Arabidopsis thaliana: one gene and its partner. The protein of the gene in region 1 interacts with the protein of each later gene in a pairwise test. Each region holds a gene or a part of one and is shown on either strand. Other genes may lie near its edges.

Region 1 (3,823 bases):
TGTTTTTTTGTGTGGCTCGATGAGTTCTCGACATTTTAATATCGTTATTGAAGTTTCCTTTCTTTTTTGAAGTACATAACAAGGAACCAAATTTTGATTAAAAAAAGTCATATATATATATATAAGAGATGATAAAATGAATTCATGAGCTTCCAATTGATCCGAAAAGCCAGCAAAGTAACATGTGTGTATTCGAAAATCAACTGATCATAATCTTAATTTGTCTCTATGAAAATTACGAACCAAGGTTTATTAGTTTTTGACAAATATTATATTATTTTACAAAATCATCATAATATCCTAAATTCAACTCATCATTTTAATGAAATTAAAAAAAAAAAGAAATCTTCAAAACTATGTTATTAATATCCAAATAACCGAACTCAATTATAATATGATGAACCTGAAAAGTTATAACTCTACAATTTTCGTTTCTTTCAATTCTACTATTTATTCATATTGAAAAACATGATTCCATTTATCTTTCTTTAGTATTTAGAACATTTATCAGATATTTTGTAATTATTCCGTAATCTCATACCGCTTCTTTACTATCTCTTATCTCTTTAAAATTATTCAGTAATCATACACTTTTTTTTCTACCTGCAAGTTTTTTTTTTTTTTTTGCATCACTAATTGGGAACCATGAAAAAAAGAACAAACAATAGTGGAAGAAAAAAAAAAATAAAGATAAGAAAAAAAATATAGAAAAATGGAATAAAAGCTCTGAAAATAGACCTGCAAATGAGAATTCTTAGAGTAGCTGTTCGGACCATCTCCCCCACTCATAGGAAGTGAGTTACGAACAATCTCCACTTTTCCCATTATACTTTTTTTGATTTGCGTCTATACTTTGGCTATGTCTCGCCTATCATTTATATAGGCCATGCACTTACCACGTAGTGCTTGATATTATATTTACTTTAACAATAATTGAAACCCTCTTGAATTGAACTATACAACACATACACACACGCGATTATATGCGTATAAAAACAAGAAATTAATACAAGAATTTGCTATCACACATACACAAATCAAAGTACAATGTAGAAAAATATTTTTTGAAAAGAATAAGTTCGAATATATAGTACAATTTTTTTAATTGTAATCAATAAATTTGTTCTTCAAATCACTTAAGATGGCCAATTATCTAATAAGTAAGAATCTTATTACTATAAGTTATAGACTAGCTACTACTCTACTAGCTAGGGAGAATCATCATTGGAGTGGAATTCATTGTTTTCTTTTTTGGTGCAACTATAATAGATGGGTTTTAAGCCAATAAAATTCTTACAAACCAATATAGTACACTAGTCATTGGTTTCATTCACTGAGCTTAGACGATCCCATATCCATATCCAATGAACTACTACTACATATGTTTTTAATTAAATAGAGAAGCTAATACTGAATTATCATCAGTGGTTATTATGACTGTGGTCCTAATACATTACGTACAAGACGACCACAATACATATATTATTTTCTTTTAAAAAATTGAGTATTATTTCTGAACTAAACTATAGGTCTTGCGTGGGAAAACTACGTAATCGTAGGGGCATCAAACTAATAATTAAATCATAGGTTAAACTACGATAATATACCCATTCATCTTCAAAGGAGATGCTCTGTACTAATATATCCAAGAATGAATCAAAAGATGCCAAAATATATGTTTATAAACATAAATCTCTGTTTATATCTCTATCAATGCGTTTCTTGATTCTTTCATAATTAATAAGAGATATGTTATTGTTATATAAACAAAAATAATAGAACAAGCAGATAACTGAACCAAATAAAATTTTGGTAAAATAAAACGCTATTCTGCCTAACTTAAGAACATATCAGAAAACGCTATGGGCCTATTATTGGGCTTGGGCCTAGGATCTTTCTGGGAAAGAAAACGCTCATCTTTCTCAACACAAGTGAAATTTCTCCAGTGCTTGCTTGAATTCTGCAAATTTGGCGGTCTCCAGCGAGAGAGAGCTATTCAGTCTTCAAATTCTCTCCGTTGAGAAAAAAGAGGTACACTTGTGTTTCATTTTTCTCGGAAAGTACGATTTTATTTCTATTTTTTTTGGTTCTCTTCACGAATCTGAAGACTGATTTTTCCGTCTCTGTCAACAGCTGCTATTTTATTCGTGTCGATGATGGAGCCTCCGAATTCAAACAGTGTCTGTGATCGCTTTGTGACTGGGAATTTAGACCTTGATAACTGGATTTGGATTATTGAGTACTTTGCCAAATTCAAAACTGAGCTTTGGATGTTAAATGGTAATTGAATTTTTAATTGCATCAGTTTCTTTGAAATTTCAATTTCTGAGATTTTGTTTTATTATTGCAAGATGTCTTTGAATTGGCTCCTAAGCTTCCAGATTATTTGGGTGAATATACAAATGAGATGGTAGCTTTCAGATGCCTAGCTTCTTTGTTTGATTCTCATGTTGTTTCTGTTACTACTACTACTACTACTACCTCAATGATCGAGTTTGATTCCTCTGAGAGCTGTGAATATGTACTCCAATGTATCTTAGATGAGGTACTAATCTTTCATTTCCTTTTCAATGTGGTTTCTTGATCTTACTTAGATTGCTTGATTCTTCGTTTTCTAGATACCGTTATCGGAACTGAAACCGGGTGCACCGGGTTTAACGAAGTGGAATCTTCAACCTTTTATCAAACACAAGCTTCTTTCTCTACCAAAATGTGCTTTGGAACTGGTATTATATAAGTTTTGCTTTGAAGTTCCTTTTAGTTTGAGAGCACTATAAGGCTTATGTTTGTTTTGTTTTGATCAGATGATTGAACCATCATCATGTGAGAATGATACTCAAGTGTCTCCTTGTAGTGAGGAAGAGACTCTGAGAAGTGATGGCAAAGAGAATGACCGAGTTACTCCTCCAATGGATGAGCCAGATCTTACGGGAAGAACAGAAGAGGGAGAGTCATTTTCTCGTGGGGCTGATGAGTTGCTCGATAGAAGAAATGCCGGATTTCGATATGAAAGCGAAAATGATGGTAGTCATTTGTCAAGTCCTGTAGAGAAAATATACAGATGTGTTAACTGCAAAGAAAGTGGGAAGCTGTTGTTTTGCTCTAGTGATGGCTGTGAAGTCATGGTTCATCAGAAGTGTTTGGATTCACCACCTTCTTACCATGATGCTGGAGACTTTTACTGCTCTCTCTGCGCTTTAACCTGTCCTTCAGCTGAATATGTTCAATTTCAAGATGAAGTGGCTAAAGCAAAGAGGAAATTAGTTTCGTTTCTTAGACTAATGTCAGAGGTTAACAAGAAGAAATCTATTGAAGGAACCTGAACATTTTGTAGGATGTAAAGCCTTACTCATATATTCTAAGATTGTCAACAAACATAAGATCTCTCTTTGTTACAATTTTCCGTGGTAGATATACAAACATAAGATCTCTAGTCTCTGATACTTTCTCTGTGATTGTTTAAACAGGAGTGATCTGGTCTGTAACAGAAGCTAAACCATGCATTAACCTGACAATCTCAGTAGTGTCATCCAGGTAATACTTGGCCTTGCTAGGCTTTTGACCGACAGTACAAGCGAAAATCTCAGCTCTTGGGGCAATCGAAGGGCCTTCAGTGGAACTGCAGATCACCTCAAACATGTCTTCGTCAGACCGGTCATCTCCAATACATAGAACAAACTCAGGAAGTGTTCCTCTTTCTTGCATCATCGAAAGCATCCTTCTCGCTATAAGTCCCTTGCTCACGCCCTGCATGACAACAACAAGAACTAAGAAGACTCTACAAATGGAAACATATGCCAAGGTTTTTTGGGGAATTGAACTG
Region 2 (7,396 bases), about 15 Mb from region 1:
CATTCATGGGCATCATCTCCGCCAATGCAGCCGTCTTCTTTAATTTGACTTCTTCCACCGTTATCTCCTCCACCAATCTATTGTATACTTTGCAAAGCTCTTGAATCTTCGCTTGCTGATGAGCATTCATGACCGATCGTTGCAACGATGATGAAGAAGACGACGAGGCCTCGCCGTTGAGAAACCGCTCTGCCACGGCTTGGAAGGACGGACTGCCGAATGTGTATGGTTTTCCAGAGCAAGAATACCCGAGAAACGCAACTTCAGCACCACAGAGAATGGAAAGCTCACTGAGTTTAGTGTAGATACCATTTCGACGCTTAGACAATGTGACCAATCTGTCTTCGTCTTTTTCAATTTTCTTGATGTTAATCCTTTGTTTTCCTTTGGTTTTCTTGGGTTTCATTTTGGAGAAAAACAAAATTATGAGTTTATTGGCTATAAAAAAATAAGAGAAATTTAAACTAAGTATTTGTTTGCTGTTTTTGGCTTTAGCCAAGGAATATGTTTTTTTTGTGGGTGCAAGATAGGGTTTATATAGATGGAAAAATGGTAGTAATTTAAATTGCATAAAAGTTAGTCAATTCTTAGATTAATGTTTGGAAGGTTGGTAATATTGATTATCCGCATAGTTATGGTTGATTGATAACAATTGTTAATGTTGGATGTAGAGACTTTGACTGGAAAAACTTTTTTTGTAAGGACTTTGACTATATAAATTTTTATAACCAATTGGTAAAAATTGTGATAGTCGAAACTACGATTTTAAATAACTATCAAATATGTGGGAAAACAGAAAATAAATCACAATGATTGTTTTAAAAATTATTTGACACACAATTAAGAAAATCCCTACAGTTTGGCTTGACAAACTTGACGTTACCACCAATTGGTATCACCATGATTGATTTAAGTGAAAATAGAGCAATCTTTAAAATGTGGGGAAATGCTATTGATCAAGTAGTATTTTTAAATGGTTATAAGATTTTCCCATGAATAATCTTGGCTTCACACAAAACATTCGATGTTTGTTTTAACTTTTTGATACAGAGGCGACTCTCACATACAGCGTCAGACCAAAAATACATAATGTTACGTGCTCTCAAGTCTAAACCATATACTCACTTTTCCTGAGCGTTTAGATTCTCCCATCTTCGTGAATGGTATGATGATCCTGCATCTCATAGTCAGTCATGAGCCAGACTCACTCGGCAACAACGATTAACCATACTACCAATCTGCCTCGGTCATCTCATTGGCCTAATGACCAAGCTAACTCGTATGCTAAGTTGGGGTTGGTCCAAGCGGTCCAAAATCTTGAAATGGCCAAACCTACACATTATTATACATACCGAAGATTAGCCAAATAGATTTACCAAAACAAATGCAAATAACACATTTGAAGTTCCGAAATCAGATAATCTAACTATATTTGTAAGTTAATGACAAAAAGTTTATACCCTCCAAAGCACTCTGCCTTGAATAAGACCGTAAGGTACAGTACCAAAGTTTCTTGAGTCTCGTGAGTTATGAGTATAGTCACCTTGAACAAAGACATGTCCTTTAGGAACCTAAAACCAAAAAAACATCGAAAGATCAATTCGCCATTAATCCAACAAACTAAACAATCCAAAGGAAATTGTAATATACACCAATAACACTAACGTTGCTAAAAGATTCAAAATTTTCCATGAATTGCAATCAGCTAAATCGAGCTCAATACTAATTAACAACTTGTTTCAACTCTGATCACTCAATTTCTCAACAATGTATCTACCTTCTTCAAACTCAGTTCTCTAAGTACAACATTCAAAAATCTCATCCATAAGCAAAACCAAAGTGAAGTGAAGTCAACAAGGAAGAAGGTTAAGTAACAAAACATACCACAATGGTTTGAGATTCATCACTCTTCCTTGAATCAATCACAAAGCTTATACAATCACCTTCAATACCAATAACTCTTTTAATTGGAGTCTTATTAGGGTTTTCTGGAGATCGTATCACAACTATATCTCCACGACTCGGTTTCTGATACCGCTTCGAGATTCTCTCCGCTAATAACACATTTCCCGAAGGATGAAGCGTCGGAGTCATGCTCGGACCATAAGCCTGCTCAAAAAGACTACATCTTTATGGTAAATTTTCAATAACGAATTCGATTTACACCAAAAAAGAAGAGAGATTTCGATTGACTCACATAAGCCATGAATCCGAGATAGTTTGTTGTTACATGAAGAAAGCAGTAGAGTTTCGCGAGTAACACGCCGCTTTTCATGGCTTCTCGTGAAGCTGTGTTCCAGAAAGACGACGACGGAGTCGCCATTGCCTATTTCTTCAACTGAATCCAACGAATCGAGATTTGAGAACTACACAAAGTCTGCAGATTTCACGAAAGTGTGAAGCTTTGAGACGAATCGTTGAGCTATACTGTGTAAAATAAAATGTAATCATAACCCAATTTATAAACCCGGTTATTTAATAACCCAGTTAATTTCCATCAGAAATTGAATTTTGGTTACGTATAGGACCCGTTTTATGGTATAAGCGTGACTTTTCAAAATGATGGCCCTTACATTGTTCAGTAGAAGGAAGACCAAATGTTTAAAACTATGTAGAAGCAAATACATAATGATAATTGTAGTTCATAGTCAAATGATTACAGTGAAAGTAAAACCATACAAATTAAAATCTCAAATCAAATCCACAAGTACTTGTTCAAACCTTGCTTCTTCATCGAAGCAGTAACACACAAAAAGCAAAATACATAGAGAGATTCAAACATAAAATAGATACCATCCTGCCAACAAAAGGAAGTGAGTATAGAGGGAGGAAAATAAAGAGAAAGGTCCAGATAGCGCTAGACCGATGATTTACCTCCCGAGAAACAATAGTGATGGAAGAACCGAATATCGGTAGCATTCAAGATTGGTTTGAGAAATGTCCAACGCCAAGTTTCTGAGCTTCGATTTTAAGTGACTTGAGATACTGAACAGCTTCATCAAGAACGCAAGCTGTATTCATCTGTTCTCCTCCAGGGACAATTCTCCTCAATACTCCCATCATCTTCTTCATCTTTTTACGTCCTTTCCCATCATTGTTACTACTACTAGCACTGCCCGATAAACTCTGCTTCCTTGAGTTGTTGTTGTTGTTGTTGTTGTAACCATAACTGGAACAACAAGATTCTGCTGTGGTGTTTCCATAATCCCTGGAAGAAGTACGAGCAGTGCTGACTTCTTCTGAATCACCACCATCCTCTTCACCTTCATTATCATCATTCTCTTCATAATCTTCATCTGCGCTCAAGAGAGCATCGATCTCATTTGGATCTTCTTGATAAGAAGAGGATACTTCTTGCTCATAGTTACCATAGTTACCATAACTTCCCCCAACATACTCGTTCTGAAACGTCGAAGCTAAATTGTTCAACGAAGGGGTATTCATGAGCTTATGAGTCAGCTCAGGATGGTACATCACTTGGCTGCGGTCATATGTTTGATCGAAGATGACAAAGTTCTTTGGACAGACCGCAGACGGTTGAAGTTCAACACCATGGTATGGCAACTTTGCACATGGTGGGAACAAAGCATCATAGGATGACCCTGATGCATACGGGTTGTGCATATTTCTGTCACCCACTTCATCTGAGAAGTGAGGAAACTGATTGTTCTGCATCAGAAAACCCGTGCAAACGTAAAAAAGGAAACGCAAAGAGAAAAACAAGTTGTACACCTCAAACTGCAAGCTGCTTGAATATTTTCTACTACCGATTTGTCGCCTTTGTAAGCTTCCAGCTGCTCAGTTACTACTACACTAAGTTGACACACGGAACCAAATGCTATATCAAGTTATGGCCATCATACTAAAGATATCACGAGTTTCCACCAGAGCCCTTACCCCCCAAACCAGAAGCTCCCCCACAGACAGCTCTTCAGAATACCAGACTCTTTAACAACTCACAGTAAATTTTTTCGAAATCAAAAGTAGATAGCCGCTCAAAACCCCAATTTCCGAAAACTCCAGACGCTAGACTACGTTACAGGCTTAAGCAACTGTCTGAAATATTCAGCCTGCAATGATTTATAAGAAAGGTTGAATATCAGAAAAACTATGGTTAATACTCTAACAAATAGCTATCCACATGTCATCAAGAGGATAGAGTTCTTTTAATGACATAAATCAGTGTTGCCTAAGCGATAGAAGTGTTAGGAAATACTAAATCAAAGAGAGGCATGTACCTGGCAAACTTGAACGGATTGGTAATTAGCAATGAAACATGTAGTCATCATAAAAGTTCCTATTTCCTTCAATGATCGGTTTCCCTTCTTGTTTCCAACAATGCACATTCTCACAAACTAACCAGTATAATAAGCACAACAACAAAGAACTATTCCGAATTCCGGAAACAACACCTGCAAAACAAGGAAGAGATGCCAATAGTTTTAACACAAGAAGCTGTATATAAGGTGGCAACAACAAAATTTGCTTCCACAAGGTACCAATGTAAGACAAAAACACAAGATGTGAAATGAGAGGCTGGCTCACCTGAAAGGAACAAAATTACAGAATAACGAGGAAAAAGACAACCAGACGAGTGCAAGTTCTGTTGAAAAACATGAAGAATGCTGTCCAGGGCATCTTTGGTTCTTCCAATATCAAATTTGTAAGTGTATTAAATACCGTTCCTCTTCTCACAAACTCTGCACAAACAAACAAAAATTAGGACCAACGCTATTCAAATACTAATATATTTTCAGTATAGGAAGTTGAAAGGCACTAACTTCGAGGTAGAATCCTAAAATAACTACTGGCAAAACAAAACAGAGAAACAAAAAAATGGGAAATTTCTAATTCCTGATTCAGATAATAAAAAAGCACAACTTTAGGCATCTGCGTACAACAAACAAAAAGATAGGATCATGACTAAAGACATTAACATCGGATCCAGAATAAATGTTTTTCGATTTCATGATCACAAACCAAAATCAAAATAACTTAACAACTCTGCTTCAAAACAGAACACATAGAGGAAACAAAACCTCAACAAAAGAATTGGACTTGTTAAAAGAAAGAATCTTTACGCGATCATGAATAGTTTATTAATAATAACACAAACAAACATAAACAAGACAGAACATTCAATAGAAAAATCAAATTCAGCAATCATCTGATAAACCATAAAATAGCTATTTATGAGATACCGTCAAAGTACTAATTACAAGACAAAGAAAAAACATATAAGTCCTAATAAGTCAGAAATTGCGGCGGTATAAAGAAAGAAAGAAGCAGAAAACATTCATACCGTAGAAGAAATCAAAAACCCTTTGGATCAAATGAATCGGTGATGCGTAAAAACTAAAGCTTTAGAAGAATCTGATCAAATTCGAAAGAGTGATTTTTTTGTTTTGTTGTTACAGAGGAGAAGAAGAAGAAGATCTAAAGAGAGAATGATGTGTGTGGCAAAAAGAGAGAGAGAAGGGAAGGGTAGAGAAATAAGGAGAAGAGAGCGAGCGAGCGTGGCTTTCTTTTTCTGGTGCGGTTTGTTTTTTTTCGTTTGGTTTGCCCATTTTCATTTCTTTAATCACTCACTCACACACACTACACTAGTCACTACACAAACAAACATTGTTTAAAGTTAATAATTTCGTTTCACGCTTTTCGTGCGTGAATCTACTTGTTTTGTTTTTTCAAATGTGGAGCAAAAAGATGTTTAACTTTACCGCAAATTTTTGGAATTTTCAAAAAAAAAAAATGCACTCCTATTAATTTGATTCATCCAAGATAAAAAGGTAAAAAGCTTGGACAAAATATGTCTTTTTACTTGTTAGATTAGATAAAAAAAAATCTTGGAGTAGAAAGATGACACATTTTTATTAGTAGTGTTATTTAAATCCAACAAAGTATAAGAGTGTCGTGATACCTATATTGTTTCTTAACTTTTTCTCAAACAAAATATTTGTTTCTTAATCTTTTCATAATGTTCAGTTTCTTTAATCTGTTTCTTTCGGCATAAGTAATTCTTTAACTATTTCACTATCTAACTATAAAAGTGGATATTACTATTACAGTAGAAACTCTATAAATTAATACTCGATAAATTAATAAACACGGTAAATTAATAAATTTTGTAGGTTCCAAGTTGTGCCAATATAAAAATTAACCAAAATCAATAAAATAATAAGATAATCATTTTTTTAAAATTCCTATGTAAAATTATAGTCCCAATAATATTATAAATTAATAATTATAGATCTTAAATATATATTTTAAGACTAATTTTTATATGAAATTTTTGTTCAAGCTATAATTACAACTCTTTTTAAAATACAACTGATATGATCTCTGTTGTACTCACATAACTATTTGCGTATTTGATCCGTCATAGTTGATTTTATAAAATCTTTTATTTGAGAAAGCATTACTATGATTTGTGTAAAGAGAAACTGGATTAACTTTCATGTTTACGTTTACGTTCACGTTAATGTCGTAGATATACAAATACAAATCTTACCGAAAATAAATTAAAGAAGTCAAATTAAAATAAAAACCTAACATAATTATATATGCAAACAACAAAGCATATAGAAAATTACATTAAGAAATATTTTTAAAAGAATATAGTATCGTACTTTACGTAAATATTTCTATAAATTAATATTTATTAACTTATACGGTAAATTAATATATATTAATTTAGAGGATAAATTAATATCACTATAAATTAATAAAATTTTATGGCTCACCATTATTAATTTATAGAGTTTTTACTGTATCTAGTAAAATTTACTAAATCACTCTATTTGACCGGTGTCATGCTTTAGATTAGGTCTATTAAAAAACTCATGTATATCACTATGTAAGTGGATAGTAAAAACTCAAACAACTTCTCTTTAGGAAAAAAGAATTACTGTATGTAGAAAATATGTTATCCATTTCTGTAAAGATGGAACACACTATGATTACAGTGTTTAACCCATGTATATCACTATGTAAGTGGATTTTCTTGAATGAAAAGTTTTTTAAAACATAAAAATAAAATAGATGTTATGATAAAATAATAAATAGTGGAAATTAAATGGAAAAAAAAAAACAAGAAGAGGGAGCACGCGTGAGGGGATGGACAGAAGAGAGTCAAACAAGGGAAAGTGTGAGCCGTTGGATGAAACAATCACAAATGGTTTCCGTTTAATGCGGCCTTGATCGTGACCGTTGGTTTGGTTGCTCCTTTAGCACGCGTGAAAAGCTTTTGTGGACCTCTATAGCTCCCACCAAAAAACCAAACTCTCTCTTCTTTGACAATTTTTATTTGTAGTTTTAGAGACGACACAGTGACACACTCTTCTCTCTCTTTGGGCTCTTGTCCCAACCCCATACTTGTTCCAAAGAATATTACTTA

Evidence for each region. The genes of interacting proteins can lie anywhere in the genome.
Region 2: the proteins of AT1G68030 (region 1) and AT1G29950 interact in a two-hybrid assay, tested with the Arabidopsis thaliana proteins (one large-scale study listed by BioGRID).

The regions. Positions count from the first base shown.
Region 1 is NC_003070.9:25,499,878-25,503,700, reverse strand, and holds AT1G68030 (RING/FYVE/PHD zinc finger superfamily protein), read left to right. Parts: upstream 1-1,897; 5' UTR 1,898-2,031; intron 2,032-2,133; 5' UTR 2,134-2,153; coding exon 2,154-2,280; intron 2,281-2,325; exon of another isoform or gene 2,326-2,351; coding exon 2,352-2,545; intron 2,546-2,618; coding exon 2,619-2,726; intron 2,727-2,804; coding exon 2,805-3,323; downstream 3,324-3,823. Other genes in the region: AT1G68040 (S-adenosyl-L-methionine-dependent methyltransferases superfamily protein), read right to left, coding at 739-825; ATTPS6 (UDP-Glycosyltransferase / trehalose-phosphatase family protein), read right to left, coding at 3,460-3,747.
Region 2 is NC_003070.9:10,489,740-10,497,135, reverse strand, and holds AT1G29950 (basic helix-loop-helix (bHLH) DNA-binding superfamily protein), read right to left. Parts: upstream 5,439-7,396; 5' UTR 5,303-5,438; intron 5,162-5,302; exon of another isoform or gene 4,782-5,161; intron 4,701-4,781; 5' UTR 4,239-4,700; intron 4,071-4,238; 5' UTR 3,676-4,070; coding exon 2,920-3,675; 3' UTR 2,538-2,919; downstream 1-2,537. Other genes in the region: AGL64 (AGAMOUS-like 64), read right to left, coding at 1-406; AT1G29960 (Peptidase S24/S26A/S26B/S26C family protein), read right to left, coding at 1,285-1,332, 1,461-1,571, 1,885-2,109, 2,198-2,323.